Struthio camelus: one gene and its partner. The protein of the gene in region 2 purifies or fractionates together with the protein of the main gene of each other region. This does not show direct contact. Links are inferred from orthologs where the notes say so. Each region holds a gene or a part of one and is shown on either strand. Other genes may lie near its edges. The genes, in order: NELFA and NELFB.

Region 1 (8,979 bases), on a different chromosome or scaffold from region 2:
TCCACCATCAAGATTCACAAAGCTTTACAAAGCTGGTGCAACACAGGTTCAAATACTATTAAATTTTCAAATGCCAGCTCCGTGCTCCTCACATGTGATTGATGCAGCTGGCACGTAACAAGTCAGGAAAAATATACATATGACTTTCTGAACATAAGTACTTTCACAGAGACCAGTAACAGAGTCAAAGTGATTTCTGCCTGAAGGATTTAATTTCCAGATAGCCATAGGTACTCTATATTGGCGTACTTCTGCTAGCAAAAAGACTATGTCCAGCACTGTATAATATATAGTGCAGAGAATACTGCATAGAAGCACAGAGCACGAGGGAGAGGAAGAGAACCCACACATATATAGAGTGTGTGTGTATATACAGAACTGAACACTAGTACAAAACACTTAGCAACTTTATGGTTAATAAATGTGTCAAATATCCAATACCAGTTAGAGTATCCCAAACCACGAGAACAAGCTATGTAACAAACCTTGATAAACACAACCTTGTTTTAGCAAATTCACAAGATGAATATTTGAGAAGACAACGTTCCCTTTAGCTAGCAGTTTTGTTACACTGGCAGTTTTTACCACGTATAGAAGGAAATCTATAATGAAATCAGTCTATAACGAAATAAATCAGACTTGTTAGCAAGGTTAAAGGTTTCTACCTCATCATTTTCTTAATTTAACAAGAACGTCTTCACTGAGAGGAAAGTTCAAAAAAAAAAAAGTCCTTGAAATAATTTAAATAAATTTAAGGTACTTTGCAAAGGACTGGGAAAGAGAGCAAAACCCTAGCTCTAGAACAAGCATGCTCTGTTTACAGCTAAAAGACTGGATTTATGACTGACTTCAACTCTACCAGAGAACTGAAAAATCCCACAACACTCTTTTTTTGTTCTAGCAATAGCAGTAAAAGTGTTTACATTTGGAACACAACTGATCACTTTAACAACACATTAAAGGGCACAGAAACCAGCTTGCTCTTCTTCACATGACACTTCATCTCCACAGCTAACAAAAGCACAGATTAAGTAAGTGGCCTGCTGCCATCTTCCTTGATTTGAATTAGTCTTAAACAAATAACAACAAAAATTAGGTTTAGTGCAAGTCCAGTGAGCGCTCCTGCAGCATTTCAACCAAGTGTTTTAGTTGACTTGAACTGCTGCTCCCTCACCATAGAGCTGGCATTGAGTACTACTTATGAAGGACCCTAAGCTTTTTTAAAATTCCCTTCTCTTAGGCCTAAAAACACCACTAGTTTGTTAACTTTCACCAAATACTGCAAGACTCTTCTTCCAAGCTATGTGGATTTTCACAGCACTTGAGAAGAATTTTACATACTTAGAGTTTGTGGGAACTGAGGGGTCGTTCCCTACCCCCCTTTCCAGCCTTGGTTATTTTGTTTGTAGAAAACTAAAAAGCAAAACTGCATTTGTCTCGCCCAAATAAGAATGCTTGTGCACTGGACAGGCACAAGGCATAAACATGTTTTAAAAACAGAGGAAGCATATGCTGAGCAAAAAGTGTCTTTTTAAAAGCAACTGCAGTTACGCGTAACAGAGTAACAACCATAGAGATATATCTGGCAAGACAGATCCTGGCATACACTAACCTACTGCTTGGAAGCAATGCTTTTGCATTTTAAGCTTAGAAGTGCACAGAAGTAAAGCATACAATAATCTGAACTATGCACAGTCTCCCTACACTATGTCTAGTATATACTTCTATTAAGCGTAAGCAACAGAGGCACAACCTACCCATGAAAGGGACTGCTACAAGCACAACTGAGGATACTGTACACAAAAAGCTGAAGCCCAAACCACTCACTATCTCCAAAACTGTTATCAGAAACCAGCACCACACATGCTGGATAAAAGAACAGGAGTTCCTCCAACCTGGCTGAAGAAACTCAATGTTTCCCAATCCTTCTCCAATTATTACCCCAAATATCTGTATCTGCCTACTGGTAAGAACAAGGCAACGGCAGATGACACACGGTCCAGAGCCAAGCGAATAAACTCTGCTGGATTTATGCTGACTCCATGCAAAGTCAGATCCAAATCCGGCCAGCCAGATTATTAGCTGGGGTCACGGCAGTAAAGGAAAGAACAAGTACTTCCTAGAAAGGTAAGGGGAGGCAAAAATCCACAGCAATTTTCTCCAATAAGTCCTGACTACAAGAAGGTGGGGAAAACACTGCTCAGTGCAAACCCCAGATCTTCCATTCCCAAAGTTTCAGCACTTGCTGCTGTCCTTCCTAAATCCGAGATACTCGCCTGTGGATATCCACACAGCTGCCAGTATTAAAGAAAGCAAATGAGATCTTCTCCACGTTATTGTTGGAGGCCAATCTTCCCTCTGGGGCCTAAACCTAGAGCAAGCATTGGCTCAGAGAAGCCCTCCCCCCTCCCCAAAGAGGCACCAGAAGTCCCCAAACTCTAGCAAAATATAGTCCTAAAGCTACAAGTCTGCTTGGACACGTTAAGAAAGGTTTCAGGTTGAAACCCGAGCCCTGCTTTCGAGAAGTCTAGCGCCAACCACAGATTCCCTCACGAGCAGGAAGAGGAGCAGCAGCGACGCCGCCACTCCACTCCCGTTAACCGGGGGGGGGAGAAACCTGAGCACCTTTTTGAGGGCCCAGCCTCCAAGCAGGGCCTCAACGCACCGCACTACAGAGGGGGGGGAACAAAAAAATAAACAAAACTGCCAGGAAGGAGCGGGGATACCCGTGGGGAAGGCGGTAATTACTTCCCACCCGCCCTGGGGAAGCGGCCGCTGCCGGGCTCCCCCTCAGGGGCGGCGCGGCCGCGCTAACGGCTCGTCGCGCGCCGTTGGGGGGGGGGGGGGGGGGAGGCGGGCGGCAGCGCGCCCCGGCGCCACCGACTCCATTTAAAGGAGGGGGAGGGAGGTGGTGCCCCCCTCCTTCTCCCCTCACGCCATCTCCGACTCCTCGCCCCCCCCCCCCACACTCCGTTTCGGTTAAGCTTCCCGCGCAACGTCCTACCCACAGCCCTCACCTCATCCACTGCCCGGCGGGGCAGGTGCAGCATCCCCAGGAGCAGCTTGAGCTTGACGGCCGAGGAGAGGCCGTGGAAACAGAGGCGGATGTTGTCGATCACCGAAGCCGTGAGCAGCGAGGCAATGCTCGGCGGCGCCCACAGCTCGTCTGTGGAGCCCAGCTTGTTGTGCAGCCACAGGCCAGTGTCGCTCTCCCGCATCGACGCCATCTTGGGAGCGGGGCGAAAAAAGAGGGGATTCTCCACGGGCATTTTATGAAGACACCTAAAGGGAGGAAGGGGGAGGGGGAGTGAGGACCCCTGCGGGTCGCCGTCTCGTTCGTAACCCAAAATGGCGGCGCCCTGCAAGGGAACCTCGCTCTAGGGAAGGCGGAGATTCTTCCGTAACCTAAAATGGCGGCGCCCACACAGAGAAAACCACCAAGGCTCTTCTCGTGTCTCGCTCAGATGCAAAATGGCGCCCGCCATCCCCCCCCCCCCCGCCGCCGTATCGCAAGATGGCGTAACCTCACCATGGGGCAGCTTCTCTGTCAGCTCCAGCTTGCTGCTCCCGACGCCCTGCCCTAACTCCTCCAAGACTCCCCTCGGCCGCGGAGCGGGACTGGGGCGCCCGGCCAGCCGCGGAGCCGGGCGGAACAGCTGCGAGGCGGAGGCCAGGCCCCGCCCCTCTCCTCGGAGGGCGCCCGCCCGCCGAGCCGCCTGCTTGGCCCCGCGCGGCCGTTGGCGGCGCCGGGAGAAGGGCCGAGGGCCCCGCTCGGCCGCCCTGCCTCCTCCTCGGAGGGGAGGGCTGGGCCGCTCCGCGGGGTTGGCACAGCTGCCGGTGGCACCACGTCTCCTTCCCTCAGGCCCGGTTCCCCCCCCCCCCCCCCCCGGGCTCGCAGCCTGGCTCCCCGGCGGCAGCCGCTGGGGCCCCCTCAGCGCCCTCAGGGCCTGTGTTGAAAAAGCGTGTCCACCCCGCTCCCCCTTTTTCACTTTTCCTGCCAGCAGAGTGGGTTGCTTACTGCAGCTAATGGCGCCTTGAGGTGCACCCACCTCTGCGTGCGGGGTGCCTCCTCTCCTGCTCCTCCGTGTGCCCCTGGCTTTCCTCCCGCCTGAAACCACCCCGCAGAGCTTGCCAGCACGGTGGTGGATGATGAAATCTCTGTGTAACGCTATGATTTGACCAAAATAGAGCTAACTGCCCTTCTCATCGTTTTCCCCCAGGGACTTCTGGGCTGGGTGCTGCTGAGATTTAGGAAGTTGCCGCTGCGCCTGTAATGCTAGCAGTAGGTACTCTGAAATTTAGGGGTTATTGTGCATATGCTCATTCCCTCGTGATTCAGCTCATTGTTATTTAAATATGAAAAATTAATCAGTTACCTAAATCTCAGAAGATTTCAAGTTCTTCAGGTACAGCATAAAGAGTTCATTTTAGTGTCTTTGCTCATTGAAATGAAAGCACAAGAGCTGTGGTAGGAGTGCCTAGCGCATTCACTTGTTCTCTTTCTCTGTTTTAAGCTTTTGAAGGAAAACGTTTTCTTCACAACTTTCTTCCTACATCAGGAGGTTGTTTACAACCTGTCGAGCTGAGCAGTTGGTGCTGAGGAGCTTTACATTGACTCTTCAACACTGTTTTGAGGAGTAATTACTACATTCTTGTTGCCAACTCCAGAACTTTGCTTTCGCCAATCATACCCAGTTGTTTAAAGTAGGCACCAACCTTGCTAAGACTTAAGCTAAGCATGTGCCTAACTGCAGTGCGACATCCCACAGAGTTCATTGGAACTATTTGCTTCTTGGTAGGAGAGAGAGTTTCCGATTGTAGATTACCCAAAGTGCAGAGTGTATATTCCTGTACGTTATAGAGCCTCTGACAGAATTAGGTCTAGTTTTCAGAAGGTTATGGACTCTGCTAAAGTGTTGTGAAAGTAAAAAGTGTTAAGTGGCACAATTGTGACAGAATCCCCCAAATCGGCTGGTGAGGCATAATCTCAGTGTCTCACCTTTGATTCTGTTTTCTACCTCTGAAAATGTATATTCCATGGGATACTGCAACTAGAAAAAAATTAGCTAAGCAATGAAAACTTCAAACGTGAAGAGAAAACTAACCAACTCCTATTGGAGGTGGGCTGGAGAAAGCAAATCACAGAATACCCTGTAGTTTTTGCAGCTAATTGTGTTCAGGCGGTAGCTAACACACAGAATTAAACTGTTTCCGAGAGCTGGTATAAGTGTTTTTTAGGCATCAGAGCTGATAAATACTCTACAGCACCACAGTGCCACAAGTAGAATTGTACATCCTCTCTCTACCAGCTCATATAGACGGACCATTTCCTGAAAAGGTAACTTTGTTCTGGTAGACTTTGTATGGGATTAGGTACCGTCTTGCTCAGGTGATGCCAAAGCTGCACACTGATGGAAGGTAAGGGAGTACTTTTTACATACTTTCTTTGTTACATGCTCCCTTGGGGCGTCTATTTTTGCCCACTGTCAAGGGTGAAAGCAGTGGGCAGCGTGGCCATTTAGTCTGTTCTGGTGTAATTATTTTTATTTTCTTAGCTGAAGGGTGACCCCCAAAAGAGAGTCTATTCTCTGAGGTGTATCTGGAATATAAGGTTTTATATAGCAAACGTGGCTCCAGTCCTACCACCTGCAAATCTGTGCTTGTCAGCTGCTGACTTGAGTGGGCATGCAGAGCTTAGGGAGATTAAGACAAAACGCCAGCTAGTTATAAGATCATGGTTTTGTCCTGTCTGGTAACTAGTAGATTAACTTTCTGTTTGAATATAATAAAGCTTTATTTATTTTTCAGTTAGATTTTGTCTAGTGTGGGTAGTGATTTTCAGAGTAATATGGCAAATACCAAAGTGCTCATTCCTCATGGATGCACGAACCTGTAGGTTAATGGAGTATACTTGAGTTCTCTGAAAGTGCTTGATATCCCACATAACGTTGGGTTACGCAGATAACTGTCCGCAGATATTTTCTCCTCTGAGTTGCAAGTCCCTGATTCAAAGTTTGTAATACTGGATATTAAATTGTTGAGAAATATTAAGAGCATGCTATGAGACAGATCGCAGGGAGACAATCTAGATTCACTTCCCCAATTGTGACGGTGTTCACATAAAAGCAGATACAGCCAAAGAGTCACGTCTTCCAATCCACTTTATATTTGTTTCAAGAAAGGTAACTCTTTACCTCATACCAAAATCCGTGCTCCAGGGATTTCCGGACCTGCTGTTTTTCTCACTGCCTGTCCAAAAATATATATGCTGGGATGAACTAGTGCTGCATCAGTGAGGGCAGCCTGCTGTGTTAGCTATCAGACTCAGAATAGCTGTGTATATTCAGAAGGAAGTTACAGGGATAATGCCTAGAAGTTTCCTATTTTAGGGGAAGCAACAGCACATCTCAGCTGGGCACCCAAATCGAGGAGTGGAACGCTGACGGGCAGAGGGTTCAGAGCGGTGCTGGCATTGAGTTCTCAGTTGGGAAGCAGCAGCTTTTACTGTGTTTTAGAAAGCACTGAAGCGTGTGCAATAAACATATCATTAGCATTAGCAGTGGCACTAAGTTCCCATTGGCATCCTGCGGTTGCAACTGTGACAGTTTCTGAGCCAGCAGTGCTTCAGATTATGATTCATACTGTGATGACAGGGACTGACCCGAGAAGGTAGACAAAGCAGTTGGCTGTATAGCATAGTACTATATAGTACACCCAAACCCCCACGCACTATTAAAAGGATTCCATTAAGACTGAATAACTGAGCTTTTAAAAACTCTAATTAGGTTTGTAATGCTACTTTACATGTAATGCTACTTTAGCGTGCTACGTTATTTCCCCTTTGTGCAACTCTGGCGATCTGAACACTGCAAACGTTTAATACATTCAATGCTTCCATACTTTGTTTAAAGTGCATTTTTTTAAGTTTTAGAAGCATAATAAGAAGACAAATTTTATCATGTGGTATCAGGTTGACGCCTAAGTTTTCTGCATAGTTAAGACCTTTCAGTCTGTCACTGGAGCTAACAGAGTGACTGACAGTCAGGCTACTATCCTTTATGGCAGCCAGCGACAGAGGTATTCTGTCAGTGTGTTTCAGGTGCACACCGTCTTAAGGAAACACTGTATTACTTTCTTTACATATAAATTAAATTATCATTAAGCTGCACTTGGTTCCATAAAATGGTATTTATTACCATTTTTATTTTCATTCAGTTCATTAAACTCTGCTTTTTATAAGTTTCTGCATTTTCCTTTTGTCTGAGTGATCTCAGCAGATTTTACTTGTTAAATACAAGGGTGTGTATTGCTTTTTGGTGGCCTTTTCCCTACACACAAACAAAATCAAAACCTCTGTCTTTCTTTCCTGCACTTTTAAGCTAACCAGTCATTCAAAATTGAGTTTATTTGACGTGTCTTAAAACTCTTTGCTGTAGCAGTGGGATCTGAAAGGTGACTCTCAGAATTTACTCCATCAAAAACAGATTATTTGACTTCCTCAAGTCAAGTGCTCAGCTTACTTGTGGTAACCTCTTGCATCTGCTGTGACACAACCAGTTACCTTTCCTGCTAGGCAAAGTCTTTTGAAACGGATATGGCTCTATTCTATCAGAAATAAAAATAAAAGTACTTTCGTAGCTATGAAAAGTTTACCGGCTAGTTCCTCTCTTGTGAATTTATGTGACATGATGCAAGCTACTGCAAGGGTTTATCATCTGGTTACCTATGTCTAGGATTATGTTTACATTACCGTCCCACCCTCTTACTTAGGACTTCAGCTACACAATTCTATGTTTTTTCTTTTTTTTTTTAAATAAACTTCAAAATGGTGTAGGACTTAAAACCTAGGATGATAAAGGCCCATGAAGACAGCCCTTGAGAGGTGGAAATCAAGTGGTCGTTTGCTTTAAATCTTGTTCTAGAACAGTTTCACTTCATACACTGCCACTCGTAGGCCCTGACGTGGTAGTGGCTAATGAGGCCTGATAATTGAAGATTATCAGCAGTGATAATTTCCTTGAAGCCTCTGCAGAGCTGCAACAGTGGCATATTTATGTGCAGCTCCCATCCTTGAGGAAACGCAGCCTTCTCTGTTTGGAAACCTAATTTTTCCACATCCTCAGTTGTCACTATCAGTAGCTCATCAGCGTGGTGTTAGTGTGTCCGTTCCTAGAGTTGCCAGGACTTTATTTGTACGGACTGCTTTGATTTGAGGTTGTTCTGCCTTATTGAACTTTGTGAGGTTTCTGTTGGCCTAATCCTGAAATCTATTGAGGTATCTCTGAATAAAGTTCTGCTGTTCATCGTGTCAGCCGCTCTCCCTAACTTGGTGTCCTTAAAACTTGCTAAGGAAATGTTCTGTGTCATTGTCCAGGCCTCTGATCAAGACGTTGAACCATATGGGCCACAGCATCAGCACAGGGAGAAAGAGTAAAGAGGACTGAAAGCTTGTAAATGCTTTCGCATTGGTCCCATATTGAGCAGTAGGAGAAAGGCTCAAAAGCCCAGGAGGCAGAAAAAGGAAGGACACACTCTTACAGCCTGACAAGAATTACGTTATTTAAGTCTTACCATAAAGCTGTATTGTATCATACATATCCTGTTGCACTGTTTGAGTCTACGTGTGATACAGCTGGGTCTTCTGGGTGTGATTTAGGAGATTTAGAGATGCAGGGCTGAAACCCTTTCCAGACCTAGGAGTCAGTGGAGAACCTGGATTTCACAGTCCTCCTCTGCTTGCTCTGGATCCCGGTCAGCATCAACGTTGGGAGAGGTGCATAACACAGGTAGGTGAATTTACAAGCTCGTAACTCTCACAGACACAGTTTCCTGCTTTTAGTGGTAGCTGCAGATGCCGTGAACTTTCCAGAGTTCCTGCTGATGTGTTTCTTACACTTATTAAAATAGAGATCACTTATTGCAGTATTTGCTTATGTTCTAATCGTTTCCTTCATTTGTTGATACCTGCTTACGTATTTG
Region 2 (9,765 bases):
TTCCTAACTCTGCCAAGCTCAGAATACCAAACAGATGAGTTTTCTGCTTGTTAAATAGATGAGTTAACCCCACATTTCTGTTTACCTCAACACCATTGCCTGGAGCAGTTTCGAGGCTCTACTGATGTCTTTGCAAAACTAGCCCTGGAATCAGCACCAAGCCTCAGTTTTATTTATTGTGTGGATAGTGGAAGGGAGAATTCCCTGACACATCACAGCTTGGCCCACGCGCTTTTCATGGTCCTGTGGCTTGGGGCTGGGCTGATGCCAAAGCTTGGCCTTGGCCCCGCCTTTCTCCTCTTTTTAAAGACTGTAAAAAGCAGTCACTGTCAGATGCAGACTTTGCATTTGCTGCTCCACTGCTTCCTCTTTGACTTTTCAGAAAAAGGAGAAAGTGCTTCATGTCTTGGCGCGAACTCCTTCCCCCCTGGCTGGTGATCGGAGCAGGACTGACGGGCATTGTGCTACTTTGTGTCTCCACTAAAGATGTGCCCACCACCCCTCTCAGGACCAAGGTAAGGTCATCTGTCTCAGGCAAGGTAGCCAACCCGGGGGTGAAGTGGGGCAATAAGCAGAGGACATTATCCTTGCCTAATTGGGTTTCTTCCTAAGGAAAAGCTGCCTGTTTCCTTGGGCTTATCCCTGGTGCAAGCCTGACATTTAAACAAAGAACTGTTGGGCTTTGTTGCTTTTTACATTCATTGCGCTACTGAGTGACTCTACCAGCCCAAATCAATAAACTGAGAAGAGGACTAGCACAAGACTGTGAGGATGGGTTAGTCTCCCTCAAAATGCTGTAGCTTTTCAAACCGAAAACAAAACATCCCATTTGATTTCAGCTGTTCAGTTGGTCAAGGAACGTACAGGCTGAATATCGTCCACTGATCAGCAGAGACCCTCACTGCAAGCTGAGTACAGGAGGTAGCCTGCTTCAGGAACTGCCCCAGAGCAGTAAGGGACCAGTGGTTCAAGTGGCCCTGAACTGCTTCGGTCCTTAAAAAAAAAAATCTATTATGCTTACTCCTTTTCCATCCCTTTTACTTTTGATTTTTATTGAAGAGCCAACCTGCTCTACGCAGCAGGTTCAGATCTGCCCAGTGATGCAGGGGTAAATCTCTATCTGCTTATGCCTCTTGATGCAAAACTGCTGAGGTGAGGTCAATTGCACGCTGTGGTTTACTTGAACAGAAATAGGTTAACCTATGATTTTAGAGATACTCCCCACCCACCATGCGCCGCTTAGAAACAGAACTGCATTTAAAAAGTCCTTATTGTTCCATGCTCTGCCAACCCAAAATAACATCAAGATCTGTGTTCTTCCCTGATGTTGATTTGTGGCATAAATGTGGTCTCCTCCTCCTTTTTGCTCCCAACGGCGGTCTCTCATTTTGTGAGGGAGAAAAAAATTCTGAATTTGCCCACCAAGATCATTCATTTCTTGCTCTTCTGCAGCAGCTGACATGCCCCTGCAAGAAATATGAGCTGTCACTTTTGTGGGAGGATGCCAGCAGGCTCAGGCGGGGAGCTACGTCCTCCTTCCACATTTCTGCTCAGGCTCCAGTCACACCACCTCCTGGCCTGGGAGCTGGAGTGCGTGCCTGGTGGAGCTGAGAGCGCTCACAGAGAGGAAGGAGGAAGCCAGTTTCATTTGGAGGCTGCAGCCAGGCTGTCTAGTGCTAAACCCTTCTGACTACGTTAACATCAACCTCTGAGGATGTTTCTCCTCCACTCAGTCACAGTTACAAATTTTGCTGTGCAAGATACAGCTTAGGTCATGCAGAACCACATACCTCCCAGATCTCCCAAGTTTCCTTTCTCTCTTTGTGGGAGAGTCCCAGTTTGGAGTCACGTAAAGGGAGTAGAAAGGGGAAAAGATCTCCTGAGAGGAGGGCCATTTTGAGAGCAAGGACTTCCGTTAACAGGCACCAAGTTATGCTGTGGGGTACTCTTGTGGCCTCTCATTTCCAAACCTGCACACTGGGCTGCAAAAAGCAAGAAAGTCCTCAGCCTCAGTGCTAGGCACGAGGGAGGGGTCACTCTCAGCAGATAAGGTGTTGAGAAATCTCATGCTGGCTGTTGCCAGTTTTGCTGAGACGTTATCTTGGTCTGTGTGGGATTGCTGTGTTGGACAGCATACATGCTGGTCTGCCCGAGTACACTGTGGCTCCAACAGATCTGGTATGCATCGAGGCAGAGCTAATCTGTGTCACACCATCTCTGCAGCAGGGCTCCAAACAGACATGCAAGTCTCTTGAGTTCCTCAGAAGCAAGAGCAAGCCACAGCCCTCTGCTTTCTCCCCAAATGCCTTGTCTCTTTAGCAAACCAATCCAGCAGCAGCTTGAGTCCCAGAGTTAGCAGAGAGCCTGTACAGTGCTGTCTTCCACCTACGTAGGACCTGTTTCTTCTGCGCTCCAGATGGCTCAGCTCTCAATGGAAACCCTTTGCACAGTTTCAGGAACAGCTACAGAGCATGTCCAGCAGCTGCCACTGTAGATATATATTTGTGGGCATTTCTCCACTCCTGCTGCTCCTCACATATATTCGGCAATGCAGATGGTTCACTGCAAATCCACATTATCTTCTGGCTTCACCCTTTCTTTGAATTAAAAAAGCTAACTCAAATACTGCAGTGTGGGCACATGGGTTACCCAGAACACTTGTGTAACGCTGAGTAACCCTGCAATAACAAACTGTGCATTCAGTGGTGTTTAGCTATAATGCTTTTGGGGTTTTCCAGTATGGCATTATTCTGGATGCTGGCCCATCCCACACCATCCTGTTCATCTACCAGTGGACTGCCAACAAAGCAAACAACACCGGGGTGATCAGGGAATGTAGCTCCTGTACTGTGCAAGGTAAGATGCCCGATTCATGTTTGGAAGGTCTATGGGATTGGCATGGGATGACTGGAAACCAAGAGAGCTGTGTATGGCCCATCTGTGCAGTTTTTGAGTCCTGTATCATCTAGCTGCAGACTGAGATGGTAGTGACAGTGAAGCGCAGGCTGTACATTTTCAGCACAGGCCTTCTCAACACGGGTAGGGCTAGATCAGAGGATTCTGCAGTAGCAGATGAAAGTTCTACTAGCCTGCTATGGGCAGGGAAGCACACAGAGGGGATGGCGCTGCGCTGATCTCCACATGGACCAGTGGCAGAACCAAGGTTGCTGAGCCTCTCACCCAAGGGACATGGTGAACAGCAATGGAGACAAGTCTGGCCACAGAGGGGGACTTCCTAGTAACCTTTTCCTCCTCCTGACTGTTATCTGGGCAGTAAGTGCTGCAGCTCCGCAACAGAGATGTGAAGCCTCCAATCCCCTCTGTGAGGTTTGGCTGCACAAGTGTGAGTTCAGGTTGACATGCCACAGCTGGTCCCCACAGTACTGTGGCAGGCTGTGGTTTTAGGTGTCAGGTTTTAGAGAATCTTGGGGTCTTCCTCGCTGGTTTGAGTCAGTTCACTCCTGCCAGAGCCAGCTAAACAGGGTTCATGCATTAATGCTTGGGGTTTTTCTTCCCTGTCTCACGATCTTGCTTTGATAGCGAAGCATGATTATAGCAGGATGCTGGGAAACCCTGAACTCTCAGTGTCACAGGGTGCTGGGAGAGGGCAGCCACACAGCAAGCAGAGAAGGGGGCTTGCGCTCTCCCAGACTGTAAACAATACCAGCCACATACAGATGATGTAATAACAGTTCCCTGAAACCTTGTATGTATCCTTCAACTGCTACCACTTAGTATCTTCACTTACTGTGTTAAAAATGACAATTTTACTTCAGTGTTTGAATACTTACGTGAACCTGCAGCAGAGTCATCAGCAGTGACAAAACGTCCAGGCAAGTCTTTTTCCCAGATGCAAGAAGCAGTCCTTGGTCTGTGTGGCAGTGCGGGCCAGCAGAGACCTGTGGTAATTGAAATGAAGCTGGAGGGGAAAGCATCGTAGGGCCTTAGACAGCAGACAAGGACTTAGGAACGGTGGTTCAAATTCCACTTTTGCTACAGTCTTTGAGTGGTCGTAGGCAATCTGCAGCTCTGTTCAGGGCCCAGGAGAGCAAGGTACGCGGTGAGGTAGTCATGCAGCCAGGAACACGAGTGGCCTGGAGGATAAGGAAGCAAGGCCTTCTATGGTTTGTAGTTCAAAAACATTTAAAACTCCCATTGACTCCTGCTGGAAGGATGAGTCAGGGCTTGCACACAGCTGCTCTCCATGCAGCACTAGCTTCCTTCAGAGCAGAGGTGGCCTGCTTGCAGGCATGCGGTTCAGCAGTCATGTCTACCAACACATGAGGAAGCAGCTGGAAGAGGAAGCTGATGCACAAGTCTCATTTCCGTGTCAGTGTGTCCTTTTGCTTATCTTTTACAGTGGTGAAAACCACACTTCTATGGGGTGAGACAGCCTCAGCTGTAAGAGCTGTCGCATAGCTGATACGTGGTCATCTATAGGATAACTTAGCAGCACAGCTAGAGTTCTCTTAGTGTGTGATTTAGGATTTACATTTATTTGCTGTTCTGTTCCCAATGCAGCGTTTTACCGGAATGGCTACTAGTCCACTGAAATAACTGCTTTGTTCTGGCTATGACAAAGATGGGACGTCTTTGCTGTCCTTCAGGGCATGCTTAATCTCTTTGGCAACTGCTCTCACCTTTCTCCCACATCTTCACACAGGATATTTCATTCTTTCCTCTGATCCATAGGTCCCGGAGTCTCCAGCTACTCCGTTTCTCCTCAGGAAGTAGGGAAGAATTTGGAGCCATGCTTACACTGGGCCCAGAGAGAGATCCCAGCAGAGCAGCACAGCCAAACCCCCCTCTACTTGGGAGCAACTGCCAGCATGAGGCAGCTGAAGTGAGTGAATGTTGCAAACCCACATGCAGAGATCAGCACACATCATGTGGATCACTGTAAATGAATCTCACCCTGTCTGCTCTGCAGCATGTTTCATCCCCAATCCATTGGTCAGGTAAACCTTTCTCAGCTCCCTGTGCATTCAAGGGGAGTACAGCACAGCTGTGTGTCCATACCATCCCCCTGCAAACAGCCATGAGGATGATAGGCTTGCTATTGCTACCAATCTGTGTAAAGTCCCTTTCCCAACTAGGGCTGGGGACAACATCTGTCTGTTTGGAAGCTGAAGTGTTTTCAGTTTATGTGGCAAGCTGCATGGGTTTGCAGTGGTGGTTCTTGTCAGCAGGCTGGGAGCTGCGGTGGGAAGCTCTACTTTATCCTACATACTTATTTGGACCCTGTTCTCAATTACCTTGTTACCAGGACCTCTCCACCTCCTTTTAGACACTGGGGAAAAATAAGGTCTGGAGGTGCCAGGTCAGTGGAGCACAGCCACAGGATCCTGCAGTGGCAGAGAGATCTGAACTCAAGGCTCCCCAATGGCAGCCCAGCTGCTCAATCACCTTTCCATATTTTTGTTGCCCAGGCTGTGCTTGCCCCCAGTGCAGTATGAGGGGAGGGGGAAGAGGCAGTGGGAGCAGGCTTTTCATTGTGTCTCCCTGAACTCTTACCCAAAGTGGGGAACACGGCACAAGTCCTGCTGCTGCACCCACTGCAGGCTGCTCCTGGTGGAGCCCTGTAACAAATGTGCTTCTTTTCTGTCTAGCCTTACCAATCCCACCCTCTCTGACGCTCTTCTTGCGGCCCTGACTGTAGCCCTCAAGTCATCCCCCTTCGACTTTTGGGGGGCACAAATCCTGTCCAGCCTGGATGAGGAAGCATTCAACTGGGTTGCTGTTAATTACGTCCTGGAGAACTTTGTCAAGGTAAAGGGAGATCCCGCCCTGGGGAGTACAGACCTGAGCTGAGGGACTCCCGTTATCAAACAGCAAGGGACTCCCGTTATCAAACGGCAACAGAGATATGTGGAGGGATTGTTATAGCTCTGCACTTCGAACAAAACGTAAGCAGAGCTTCCACTGACTTTCAAAGAAGGCAGGTTATATCATCTCCATCATGGTGGACCTGAGATAACATGGTTAAAACTGGGTTGAAGTACCAAACCTCTAATATAGGTTATGTTCATGGATATGCTCATGCTGTTGTTGTAACTGATCTGAGGTTTTCTGGACAACACATCTGGGACGTTCAAACACAGATAACCTTACATAGCCTGGCCCTAGTGCATAAAGCAAGAACATTGTTGCCCCAAGCCATTCAGTTCTAGCTCAGAACCACTGTGAAACAGACATTGCTGCTATGTCTGCAGGGATGGCATGGGAATGTCACCAAAGTCCAGCTGGCCCAAAGGACATCCTGTGAACGGTGGACACAAGAGTCTTTGGCTGCCAAAGCAAAAGCCCTCAAACTTTCCTCTCATTGAGACAGTGATGAGACAGCGTCCCCAGCTTAGGGTCCTGGTCTGTATTCAGGAGCTCACTAAAGAAAAAGACATGTAATTTTCTTTGCTCCATCCATAGTTTCTCAAGGCAAAAGGTCTCAAGAAGGTCTCAAAGTGCCAGATAAAGGAGGGTTAGACAACAGCAGCTCCACAGCAGCGGATTAAAAGGCAGTTCTGATAACAAGCAGCAAATGTGCATCAGTCAGGCAATTGCTAGCACCGCTGGCAACAGCACAGCCCACCCAGGCCGTGGGCAGAGTATTTACATCTGCAGTCAGTAAAAGCTTTCCTGCATAAGCTTTCCTGCCTCTACTGTTAACTTCAGCATTGCCAAAATCAGTTCTGCAGGACTGTGGGACATGAAACCACAGGGTTCTTCTGACAGGAGGATCACTTTGGCATTAGGCAGCACCTGAAGCCCATATCTACCCACCTGGCAGCCTTCCTCCCGGCTCCCCCTATCCTCTCCTCTTTCCCCTGTTCCTACCTACAGAGACCGCTGCCTTGAACAGCCCACTGAGGTGGTGAAATCTACTGTTTGCTCTCACTGGCTGTGGTGAGCTCTCTGTGCAAATGGCAGTGCTTATACAGTGGCTCTCCCCTCTGCTCCCTCTGAAGCCATCAGTTCAGCATCTTCGTGCCCTGTGGGGAAATAAGAGTTGGGCTGTACTGCACCAGAAAGCTGCTCTCTCTCTCTCTCTCTCTCTCTCTCTCTGTGCAGTAATGCTTGTATCTGACTGACCATGACTCAGATGCAAAAGTCTTAAGAACCGACCTCTCTGTTTCTCTTTGGGTCAGTATGACTGGCGAGGACAGGTGATCCCCTCCATGAAGGGGACAGCAGGAGTCCTGTCCTTAGGAGGAACCTCAGCACAGCTCATTTCCAAGATGGAAGAAAAGAACCAGGCACCAAAAGGAGGAGTGAGGCTGCAGCTGTACGGGCAAACACACAAGGTGTATGCTTACCAGTGCCCCTGCCACAGCACAGACCAGCTCCGCAGCAGGCTGCTCTCCATGCTCATACGAGTGAGTATCTGCTGCTGGCATTTGCAAGTTTCCTAGATACAATGTCCATCCCCTGTACCAAATGACAGTAGCATAAGGCAAGAGCTAGTGTAGCTGGTAATAGGTGAAACATCAGTGACCATCTTTAATTGAGGGTGTTTGTATGCATCTAAAAGCCCAATGCCTCAGACAGTCTCCATGCCTGAATCGATGTCCTCTAAGTATATACAAAGGCAACCATTCCAGTTTCTTATTTGCAGGCTCTATTTGGCTTCCTATTTAAGGCACACGAGCACAAAATTGCTCTCCAGAGGTGCTAAGACCACCTTCATAGTAGAGAGGGGCAAACACTTCCCTTGGCTTCTCTGAACTGCTCCTCCATTCTACAAGGGGAGCCTAAAAAGCAACACCTGGGAACCAGCTGGGACCTTTTTTCCCAACTTTAACTTTGACATAGTCTAAAATAGTAATATTCAATTTTGAAAACACACAGGTGTTTCAATTCTTCCGAATTTTATTTCATTGGGTGGAGGGGGAGGGGGTGGTAGAGGGTTGACTGGATCTGATACAAAGTCATGAATGGTTTTGGTCCCCACGAAAATTGAATTGTTCAAAAATGAACTCATAAATGAATTCATCCTCAGTTGGCTCCCCCTAAACACGCTCCAGCCACACCTTTCTCTAGGGAACAGCCCCTTATCTGAGACTCATATGGAGACCCACCTCATGATTATATTACAGGGAATCCCTAAGGACGAGAAATGCTAACTCTTGAGGGGTTCCCTGTGACCTGCATGGCTCTATGGGCAAAGAGCTGCTCGGGAAGAGGGGATTAGTAATCTGCACACCACCTGGGTCACCCTAGCTACCAGGGAGCATGAGGGCTGGAGCATCATAAAACACTGAATTCCCCAGGAATTCCTACATGCTCAACTTCTCATCCTCCAACAGCAGGCTCAGTCATTGCAGGCTGCCTTGAACTCAGCGGGAGCTGGGACCATGCTGTACCAGAGGTCTAGGCTTTGCAGCTGAATAGTTTAGATAAGGTTTTTGCAAGCCTTTTGCAACCTGCCTGCTCAATTATGACATTGTCACATCAGGAGAAAAAGCAAACAAAATAACTTCTGTTTTTCATTGTGTTATATTTCATTTTCTTTTATAAAGCCTTGAGCAGTTCTCTTGGGTCTCCTCTCTTGCTACCTGTCCCCATTTTTTTCTGCCCCTCTAGGATCAGAGAAATGTGAAAACTATATATAACCCCTGCTGGCCCCTCACTTACTCCCAGGAAGTGCAATGGCGTTCAGTGCATGCTGGGCCCTGTGCTATCAGTGATGACACATTGGGAACCCCCAGCCCTGAGGAGGTGTTCAATGTCACCGGCTCCAGCAATTCTACTGCTTGCAGGAGACTCGTGCAAAGTCTGCTCAACTCTTCTGCTTCCTGCAGCTTCTTCAAGCATTCCCTCAGCAGTGTTTTCAAGCGTCCCTGGACCAAGTTTCTGGTGGGTTCTCATTTATACTGGGGTAAGCAATTGGCATGAAGAGCCCATGAAACTGGACCAATTTGATCATTAATAAACATAGTGGGACCAGCCGTTCTGTACTCTCTGCTAGCCAGGAGTGCCAGTACTCTGGCTAGTGCTGAATACAGTGCTGATGCTGTAGACATGCAATCCTGCCCTCTCCCCTTCCTCAGCACACAGCTGTTCGAATGGGCACCCAGGCTTTCCACCAATAACTGTGGTACAACACTGATCCCACGCGTCAGCAGCGTCTCTTTGCGAGAGGAGGTTTGGGGCACTGCAGAGCCATAATGGAGCTCATGTGAGCCAGCAGGGTCAGAGCAGGCAGGAGTTCTGCCCTGAGCATCTCTTCCCATGTCAAGTCTGTGGTGAAGCTAAAGACCCTCTGTCCCTTTCTGAGTAAACATCTGAGGATGCTCTACCACAAGTGTCCTTATGTCCTTGAAATGCTGGATCTAGTGTTCAAAGTCATTGGGATGTTAAGCCAGGACCTGCTCAAGATGCTAGGGCACACTGAGCACATTTCAGAGAAGGGCTGTGGAGGAAGGGATTACAGAAATCACCAGTTTCCTGTTGCCAGTAGCCTCCCATGGATATGGTACCAAGGAGCATAAGGACTAGCCTACTGCACATCCAGAGCAAGGAAGGTTGCTATATTGAAGCTAGAATCTCAAGCTAGTCCAGTTTCCATCTTCAGACAGTAACAGCTCCTGTTTGTTTTCCCAGTGCCCATCAGAAGCACTGTAACCACCAAACAGATAAGTAGAAAGGACATCCTGGAAATGTGCCCAATGGCTATTGCCACCTACTTTCCCTTACACACTATATGGAAGCATGCCTGGCGCGATCCAACCTGATGATTATTTCTGCTGCTGTTATAGGTGATTTCTGAGG

The links.
Region 1: the proteins of NELFB (region 2) and NELFA purify together in Homo sapiens (affinity purification with mass spectrometry; 8 studies listed by BioGRID and IntAct, counting the BioPlex papers as one, with this or other methods). This does not show direct contact. The link is inferred for Struthio camelus from reciprocal best matches to the Homo sapiens genes NELFB and NELFA.

The regions. Positions count from the first base shown.
Region 1 is NC_090945.1:77,948,678-77,957,656, reverse strand, and holds the start of NELFA (negative elongation factor A), read right to left. Parts: upstream 4,165-8,979; 5' UTR 4,019-4,164; intron 3,733-4,018; exon of another isoform or gene 3,530-3,732; intron 3,283-3,529; 5' UTR 3,270-3,282; coding exon 3,018-3,269; intron 1-3,017. UniProt on the Homo sapiens protein: Essential component of the NELF complex, a complex that negatively regulates the elongation of transcription by RNA polymerase II.
Region 2 is NC_090961.1:11,646,774-11,656,538, forward strand, and holds the start of NELFB (negative elongation factor B), read right to left. Parts: upstream 4,294-9,765; 5' UTR 3,936-4,293; coding exon 3,792-3,935; intron 2,857-3,791; coding exon of another isoform or gene 2,739-2,856; intron 516-2,738; coding exon of another isoform or gene 402-515; exon of another isoform or gene 1-401. Other genes in the region: ectonucleoside triphosphate diphosphohydrolase 2, read left to right, coding at 402-515, 2,739-2,856, 4,693-4,843, 5,610-5,769, 7,143-7,370, 8,578-8,850, 9,753-9,765. UniProt on the Homo sapiens protein: Essential component of the NELF complex, a complex that negatively regulates the elongation of transcription by RNA polymerase II.